Linked DNA regions of Coturnix japonica. The protein of the gene in region 2 purifies or fractionates together with the protein of the main gene of each other region. This does not show direct contact. Links are inferred from orthologs where the notes say so. Each region holds a gene or a part of one and is shown on either strand. Other genes may lie near its edges.

Region 1 (4,236 bases), on a different chromosome or scaffold from region 2:
ACACATGGTTTTAAGTGCAATTTTCCCTCTTCCTTGCTGGAAATGGCAAAGGATCAGGAAAAATGGGCACATTGGAGGCAATTGCTTTGGACCCTGTGCACCAGGGGAAGAGAGACAAAGGTTTGGAGGGGCACTGCAAACTCTTCAGAGCTCCTTACATAAATCAATTGGAAAGAAATTACAATGCACAGTGTCTGAGTGACAGCTCTACAGTGTGAATTAGAGTGAGGAACCATTTGGATGTGACCAAACATACCTCCAAAGGGCAGGCAGGAGAACGCTCCATGCACAGCCTGCAGCTCATCAGCCATCCTTTGCATGGGAAACTCAACAGAGAAGTCCAGCTGATTAATGCAGAACATATCTTTCCCAAAGAGAATCATTGAGCTACTAATGTAATAAGCACTAAAAATAGTAATTCAAAAGAGTTAAACTGTGCTTTCATTCCGGTTTATTCCCAGATGTTAACTAATAAGATATCAGCACATATATTTACCATATGAGGAAATCCCATCTGAAGATCTTGTGGTTCAAATATTCTCAAGCCAAAGATTTATCATCACTGCAATGACAGTATTCCCTATCCCAGCAATACCCGCCAATTTGATTTACTTGGAGAACTTGGCTTTTAAGACAGCATTTATCTAAGCTCACATACGTGGCTAACAAAACATGGACTCTACAAAATAACACGAACGAGGATTTCTTAGATGGTACAAGGACTAAAGGATGTGCTGTGGGCACTGAAAACTTTCCCTGAGCTGATGCCATGAGTTTCAAGAGTGACACAATCACAATCAGAGACTCAGAATTCAGGGAGATGAAAAAGTGTTTAGTTTCACAAATCTTACATTGCTTTGGTATGAACCACATAAAACAGCAGCTGTCAGTGCCAGACCTATTTTAGTTCCTTCATGCTACATTTGAGTATTGTCTACAAAAGCAATAGATCCTGGGGATACTCTAAAAACCAGAAGGGAACTAAAGTTGAAACTGGGTGCCAGAATTGCATTGTCTGCATAATGCTGATTCTAAGAGCAAGGCTTTATTAACACATCACCACAGCTCATTTGTCTCCTGTAACCAAGCCCAGTGACCTTTCTTGCAGTAGGCCTGCATAAACCACACTCCACTTGCCCCACTCAGTGAACAAACCTTCGGGTGTGTACACAGCCACCACAACACACAAATAACGGGGCAGCTGCCACAGGTTCCTACCTGAAGTCCACCCAACAGCTGAGCCTAGCACAGTACTGGAGATCCTGGTCAGGTTTCTCCTGTACCCAATGCTTTCCATGACTAAACATGAGAAATCAGAAGACAGCAAAAGCTTACAGCACTCAAAAAACTCCTAAAGGGCTTGTGCTCTATCTCCCCTAAGGAGTAACGAAGTCACACACCTCAACTGAATCATTCTTACAGCATACTTCTGCATTCCCTTAAAAGCAGCAGGTAACACCACTGTCGTTTTACATGAAGCCTGCTTGTTTTCCTTCAGTTCTTTCTCTGTGAGGATTTTTAAGTTAGGACAGTTGGTTGGCCTCCTGTCTAATAAATCCTGCAGCAGGTCTTGTGTACAAAGACTTCAGCCAGGGCTCTTGGTCTAACATTCACATGTGAAGTTAGATGCTCCATCACGCCAATCCCACGCTTGGGTGCCAAGCACAGCTTTGTTCCAACAGGCACAGAATCTTGATCATAAGCTTTCTTCACCTTCCACTAGAAATCAAACATCTTCATCCTGTGCCATATAAGCATTGGGACCACCAGGACCTTCAGCCTCCAGAGGAAAGGATAAGATATTGCCTCTGAAATTCTTACAGTTGAAGCAAAGGATTGATTACTAAACCAGTCTTTACATGTAACCAGGTACATTTTGAACCTAACTATATTTGAACAGTCCTAAAAAACATCAAACCACAAATTCCTGAGCAGTACCAAGCACTGGAGCAATTACAGCCCTCCAGGTACGCTGTATTACAGGGGCTCAGTGGGCACCCCGCCAGGCAGGCTGGGCACAGCAAGACATCTCCACCCTTAGGTGCTGGGTGAGCCCATAGGAGATGAGACCCCAGGGGCTGCACCCCCTCCACGCACAGCACCAAAGGGAAACCGAAGGTTTTGTCCCTTGGGTGAACTTGAGTTAAAAGAGGGAAGATTTAGGTTGGATGTTAGGGGGAAGTTCTTCACTAGGAGAGTGGTTAGGCCCTGGAACAGGCTGCCCAGGGAGGTTGTGGATGCCCCGTCCTTGGAGGTGTTCAAGACCAGGTTGGACGGGGCCCTGGGCAACCTGATCTAGTAAAGGTGTATGTTTGGTGGCCCTGCCAGGCAGGGGGGTTGGAACTACATGATCCTTGAGGACCCTTCCAACCCGGGTCATTCTGTGTGCACTCACCCCCCAGCACATCGCGGCCAGGCTGCGCTACACGGCTGCAGAAGCCAGACACTCCAACCCTCATCGTGTGAGCCGCACACACCGCAGCGGTGTCTGCCCGGGCAGGCTCGGCCGCCCCGCACGCCGCCGGTTCCTGGTTCCGCACAGCTGCGGTGCGACGCGGGGCTGGAGGCAGCGCTCCGGCCGCCAGTCCCGGCTCCGTTCGAGCCGCCAGACCCTGCGTTACCCCAGGCCCTGCCCCACCGCCCCCCGCGGGCCCTGCCCCCACCGCCTCCCCCCGGTGCAGGCCGCAGCCGGGGCCTCCCTCACCGCCGCCCCGTGGGAGGGAAAAGGAAGCGATAGGGCCCAGCTGCGGGGCTGGAAGCGGCGGATCCCGCACGGTGCTCACCATGGCGGCTCGGCGGGGCTGCGCTGGGCGGTGGCAACGGCGGCGCCTCCCGGTCCGCTCCGCTCCGCTCTCCCTCGTTCCGAGGCAGGCCGCGGCCCTTCCACTTCCGCCGTTGCCTAGGAGTGAACATCCGGGTCATCGCCCCGCCGGCCCCGCCCTCACCTCACAGCTCAACCAATCAGAGCGCGGCTCGCCGGCCATCGCCAAGTATGGAGCGCTGCGCGCGGACGGGGCGGGAGAGAAGCGCGGGAGGGGCGGGGGGAGCAGCGCCAAGCAGCCAATGGGGGGAGACCGGAAGAAGTGCAGCCAATCAGGTGCAGGGGGCGGAGCCTACCGGAGCGCGCCGGCGCGCCGCTGTGGTGGTGGTTGTACTTTGCTTTCCTTGGTTTGCTGTAGAAACTGGAAATGCTGTTAAGGGCAGTCATGTATCGCTTCCTGCTGTGATGCAATGCTGTGAAAGCACGGCATTACTGTGTGCATTTGTAATAGAACTGATGCGTTCTCTAAGGGAACGGCTTCATTTTTTCCTGGGAGGTGACATTTTGTGGTACATCCACCCGGCGGGTGACATCCAAGGCCAAGCTCTTATTTTCCACTCAGCCATTATCACAGATGGGTTTTAGTTCAGTTTTAGTAGCTCTCAGATACCAGGCAGAACCTTCCAAGAGATGCCAGCTCAAGCAATACAAGCACCTTCTATTATCCAGCCCTCAATCCTTCCAGAGGTCCCTACCAGCAGTAATTAAAGGCTGCCTTCATCACTCCAATACATTATTCCTTTCTTTAACAGCGTTCCGCACATTAACATGAGCTGGGAGCACAGAGCAGATAAAACATACATTCTAAACTTCACAACCTTTGTTATAAACCCATGCAAGCTCCTCAACGGCTGTTTTGCTTTTAGGTCTTAATGAGCAAAAAAGGTTTCTACCCTCTTGCTGAACACAAAGCAAAAGCAGATTCATGCAGCCTGTGTTAAACAGTTTGAGATCTGAACGAACATCGATGCCAAGAGGATGTTTTCCTTACAAGAAATACAAGCATCCTGGATTTTGTTTCCCTGCTAATAGGTATAAAGCAACAGAAACAGCTGCTTTTTGTTTGCCCCAAAATATTTGCATGAAGAAGAAGATCTGCGGATTCCTTTGTGAAATGGATGTAACGTCTTTTCCAATGAGGACCAGCTGCTTGCTTTGCTTGTTTATAGCAGGGAATGCTTTTGTTTGTTTATGAAGATGTAGGAGCAAGCTCTTCCTGGCAAGCTGCAATTTGCAGCGTGGAGATCTCAGCTGGTTGAAAGCTCCCTGCGTGGAGCTACAGTTCTGGCCATCCTACCTTCTGTTGTAGCTCTTGGAGGGGCTGATATAAAACAAAGTTAATTCAGGCTCTGAGTGGGAGATATTCAGTAGATCTGGGTGCTGTGAGTTGAACTCCAGGCATGTCCCACAGCTCC
Region 2 (4,314 bases):
CTGCTGTTGCCTATAATGGCACTAAGCAGTATGTTCACAAAACAAAGGATGCATGACCAAGGCAGAACCCCGAGCATCCTCAAATGGTTTTGGCTAACTGCTGATAGAGAAAAATCAAAACAAAACAGAGCGTCTGTAGCTCAAACATCATGTTTCCTACCATGAGGAAATCCCATGTGCATCGCAAGGAGTCAGAGCCAGACACTCCCGTGGCCAGAAGGGAGTGGAGATAGGGCAAGTGAGTACAGACAAGTTCCAAAAATCCAGAGGAAAGCCTTACTAACAGATCTGTTTTCATGCACCAGTCTCCCAGAAAACACACCCTTGGATAGTATTTGGGTGAGCTGTTCCTTAAAGACAGAACTTACACCCATGATGAGAAGCAAAACAGATTAAACCCGCTGTGTACAAATGCTTATTCCAGCCTTCAGCAAGGTCAGGAAGAGGCTCGATGTCTGAAACACAACCAGACTGCCTCAGGTAAAGGTAAATCACATAGAAATGGCCACCAGCCCTGGTGTGCTTTGCAGAATGAAGCCATTTCATGGTGCAGTGCTGTGTTTGACAAGACCCCGCAACAGGATGGCAGCTCACCAGCAACTTTTCCGGGAAATGAGAAGGACTGTGTTTTTTTTTAAGCTTGACTTTTTAGGTTGCCAGGAAGTTGCAGTCAGTTGCGATCTGCTCCTTCAGCAAACATCAACTGCTGCGCCAATACAGACCTGGTGGTGCATCATCCCTTTTGATGTCATGCTTGGGTAACTGGGCACAAGCTTTGACCTCACACCTAGCAGTTCTGCTTGCACACGGCTGCACCAGCAGTGGCTCCTCACCCATCTCCTTGTTACTCCTAAATTGGGGTTTTTTGCTGTTCAGATCAATCTTTATTTTTTCTCTCGACGGCAGAATGGCTGCCTGAAAACACACAGCAAATCAGCCTATCTGTGGCCTCTTTGCTCTGCAGGGTGAAAACCCTCTCCTCTGTGGTTTTACAATAGAAGTATTCACTATAAAGTTGCAGCATTTCACATCTACCGCTGAAAAAGCAACCCACCCTCATAACTACTTTGGTTGGAGGTTATTCTCATGCTTGCACTCACAGCATTTACCAGCTGACATCTCAGGACAACCTCATCAGGATTTCCACTTCTAGGCCAAATTATCCCCATCTGTGCCTGAAGCCTGACTGCTCACCCCCTCTGTCTGTAGCAGGAGTGATGCTTCAACCCACACACGGGGCAGAACACATGCATGGGATGCTCTCCCAACCACATTGTGCTTCCCATGGTGCTGGCATCCCATGCCTCTGGCTTGTGCAGCCCCTTGATCTGTCAGCAAGGGGAGGTTTGCCAGGGCAGAGCACTGGGAGCAGGACTCAGTGTCCGCTCCATGCTTGCTGCTTGTGATTCCATGACTAAAATTGGAGGGCAGCACAAAGAGATGATTTGTTGTTGTTAATTCAGCTTTCTGTGGGTATTCCTTCTGCTGGAGGCAAGAAATGCTAAGATAGCCATTCCGGGATGTTCCCGGGCTGGATTCGTGCCTGATGCTGGTGTAAACCCATGAGAATAAATCCACTGACATCAGCCAAGAGAGCAGCAGAACCAAGGGAAGAACTGAGTTATTCTGTCACTGCCTGAGCCAGCAGCGCTGGTCCCACAGCCAGAACAAGTCATTGGAGCGATTTATAGCATGGTGGCATGAAAAGTGCAGCACGAGTTGGACTCTGCTTTACCTTCATGTTTTACAGCTCGCCAGAGATGTCAAATTAGGGACGTGGGATGGCTTTTCATTTAACAATTAGGCAGTTATTTCTGCCTTCCTTCCCCTGAGTTATAGGGGCCCACAAAACCACATACTTTCTGCATCTTCTGACAACAGCAGAAACCAGCAGTTGGACTATGGCGGCTCTTTCACAAGTTGCACACACTGCACAGGAGTGTTTTAGTCAGCAAGTGGTGCAACGGGTCCATCCCACACTGCAGCACGGATGCATCTCCAGATCCATCTCCAGTTGTGTTCCCAGACCTCAGCTTCTTTCTTACCCCTCAACCTTCACTTCCAACATGTTGCTGGCACTCCCACATCTCCACAATGCAAGAGCAATATTAGACATCGTACACATGCATGTGAGACCTGAGAAGCTGTTCAGGTGCCCACTCCCAGTAGGACTCATTTATGGCTAACGAAGGGCACACAGGCCGCAACCCAGCAGCGCCCATTGCATGCAGCCACCAGCTGGAAGCACTTTTGTGCTATGGATTTCATGGATGCCGGCGGATAATGACAAACTTTCAGTCCCCACCACGCTGGGCTGCCTTTTGGTCTTCCTGCTGTTGTGGCCCTTTTGGAAGAAGCCCTTATTCTCACCACAATATTTGGGGAGTTAAGCATGGGGAGAACAAGCCAAGCTACCAGTGCTGCATGTCCCGGAGCCCGCAGCCTGCCCTTCCTCGTGCATCAACAGCAAAACCTCGTAGGGTGGAAGGGAAGAAGGAATAACCGGGTGAGCAGACGCGTGGAGGAGAGGAGCCGCTCAACTTGCCAACAAATCTGTGGCATCACGGGGCCGTGAAAAGCTCCACGTGCAAAAGCACGACAGCCTTCCCCAAAGGAGGAGGAGGAGGAGGAGGAGGAGGAGGAGGAGGAGGGCGGCCGCTGACAGGCACCCGGCCAGCACCCAGCTGGCTCCCGTTGGAAGCACAACACGCAGCAGGACGCAGCACCCCAACACAGCAAGTTGTACAAGCCGCTGGGCTGGGGATGCTGCGGCAGCATCAGAGGAACCCCCCGATCTGGGACCGGCCACGACGCCCCTCCCTGTGGCTGAGCTCCGAACCCGTCCCTGTACTCACTTGCTCCATGGTCGGGACCGGCCGCTCCTCGCCGCCCGCTCAGGGGCTCCGCCGCCGCCGGCGTCCCGCAGCCGGGCAGGGGGACATTCCGTGCTCTGCCTCCGCACCAACTTCACGCCGAACAGCAGCAGCAACAGAAACCGAGAGACAGCGCCGGGTTTCCGGCAGCTCCGGAGCTGCGAGCGCGGCCCCAGGGAGGCGGGGATCCCCCTCCTCCGGCCCCGGCCCCGCCGCCGCCTCGCCTGGCCCGGCCCCCGCCTGGCCCAGCCCCGGCCCCGCAGCTCCGTGAGGCCGCGCCCGTGGGCAGCGTAGGGTGGGAGATGTCGGAATGGAGGGACCGGGGTCAGTGAGGAGGCTGGGATGTGGTTCTGGGGTCACATAGGGTGGCAGCGCTCAAGGGAAAGGGTGCGTGTTATAGGGCAGGGTCTGCAGGGTGTCATATGGACAGTAGGGATGGAGCGGTGTCTAAAGGGTGGGAGATGGACCAGAGGGATGGGACAGGGTCTAGAGAATGGGACATACACCTTAGGGGTCTGGAGGATCAGGCATGGACTGTGGAGGTGGGATAAGGTCTGCAAGGTGGGAAATGTGCCACGGAGGTGGGACTTGGATTGTAGGGGTGAGACAGGGCACCCAGTGTTGGGATGTGAACCTGGAGCCCCTGGTCTGGGGCAAAGAACGGTGGTGTCAAACAGGTCCCTGAGGGTCAACCACAGCCCCCAGGATCAGGCTGTGGTCTCCAGCATTCAGGCCAGACCCCGCGGTGGGATGGGACCCCTGGAAGTGGAGGCTCATGAGGGTCAGGCAGGGGGCAGTTTAGGGCAGCAGTGCCCCAGGAGCAGCAGGATGGGGTGCAGGGTGCAATGCTCAATCAGGCACCATTTGGGCACTGAGCTTCTCAAAGTCCTGGTGCACATCCTGGGCTCCGTGGGCTGGCACTGTTCCTTGGAGCAGCGCAGTGTCCTCAGGATGATGTTTGCTTTTGGCAATGCCCAGGGGAAACAGCTGGAAAGTGGTCCTCAGTGGCAGAACTGGTTAACACTACTAGTCACGCTCCAGCTATTGTTCTCTGCTGGTATTCAGCTCCACAGACTTCTGCTTCTATTTCAGTCCTGCTGAAGGGCTCGTGTACCCTGCAGCCTGCCTGTTTTTTTTTCCTAATTATTTCAGTCGGTCTAAAAAAAGATATTACCTCCCTCTGCAAGCCTTGTCTCCATTGTTCTCAGTGGGGTGAGAAGAGAAGGAGAAGAAAAGCATTGATACCTCCAGGTTAAATACACTTTTTCACAGGTATCTCTGCTTGCTCCACTTTGCACAGGGTCCAGTCTAAGACAGAGCTGAGAGCACGCAAACAGCAATTAGCAGTAATGAGAAGAAACACCTGATTGCATCTCCTTCATATCAGCTTGGCTGTGGCTTTGGCAGAGGCTCCGGTCTCACCAGTGAGATCCCTTTGCTG

The links.
Region 1: the proteins of PLEKHO2 (region 2) and CAPZB purify together in Homo sapiens (affinity purification with mass spectrometry; 3 studies listed by BioGRID and IntAct, counting the BioPlex papers as one, with this or other methods). This does not show direct contact. The link is inferred for Coturnix japonica from reciprocal best matches to the Homo sapiens genes PLEKHO2 and CAPZB.

Annotation. Positions count from the first base shown.
Region 1 is NC_029536.1:4,122,480-4,126,715, forward strand, and holds the start of CAPZB (F-actin-capping protein subunit beta), read right to left. Parts: upstream 2,918-4,236; 5' UTR 2,787-2,917; coding exon 2,784-2,786; intron 1-2,783. UniProt on the Homo sapiens protein: F-actin-capping proteins bind in a Ca(2+)-independent manner to the fast growing ends of actin filaments (barbed end) thereby blocking the exchange of subunits at these ends.
Region 2 is NC_029525.1:16,009,907-16,014,220, reverse strand, and holds the start of PLEKHO2 (pleckstrin homology domain-containing family O member 2), read right to left. Parts: upstream 3,087-4,314; 5' UTR 2,865-3,086; coding exon 2,856-2,864; intron 1-2,855.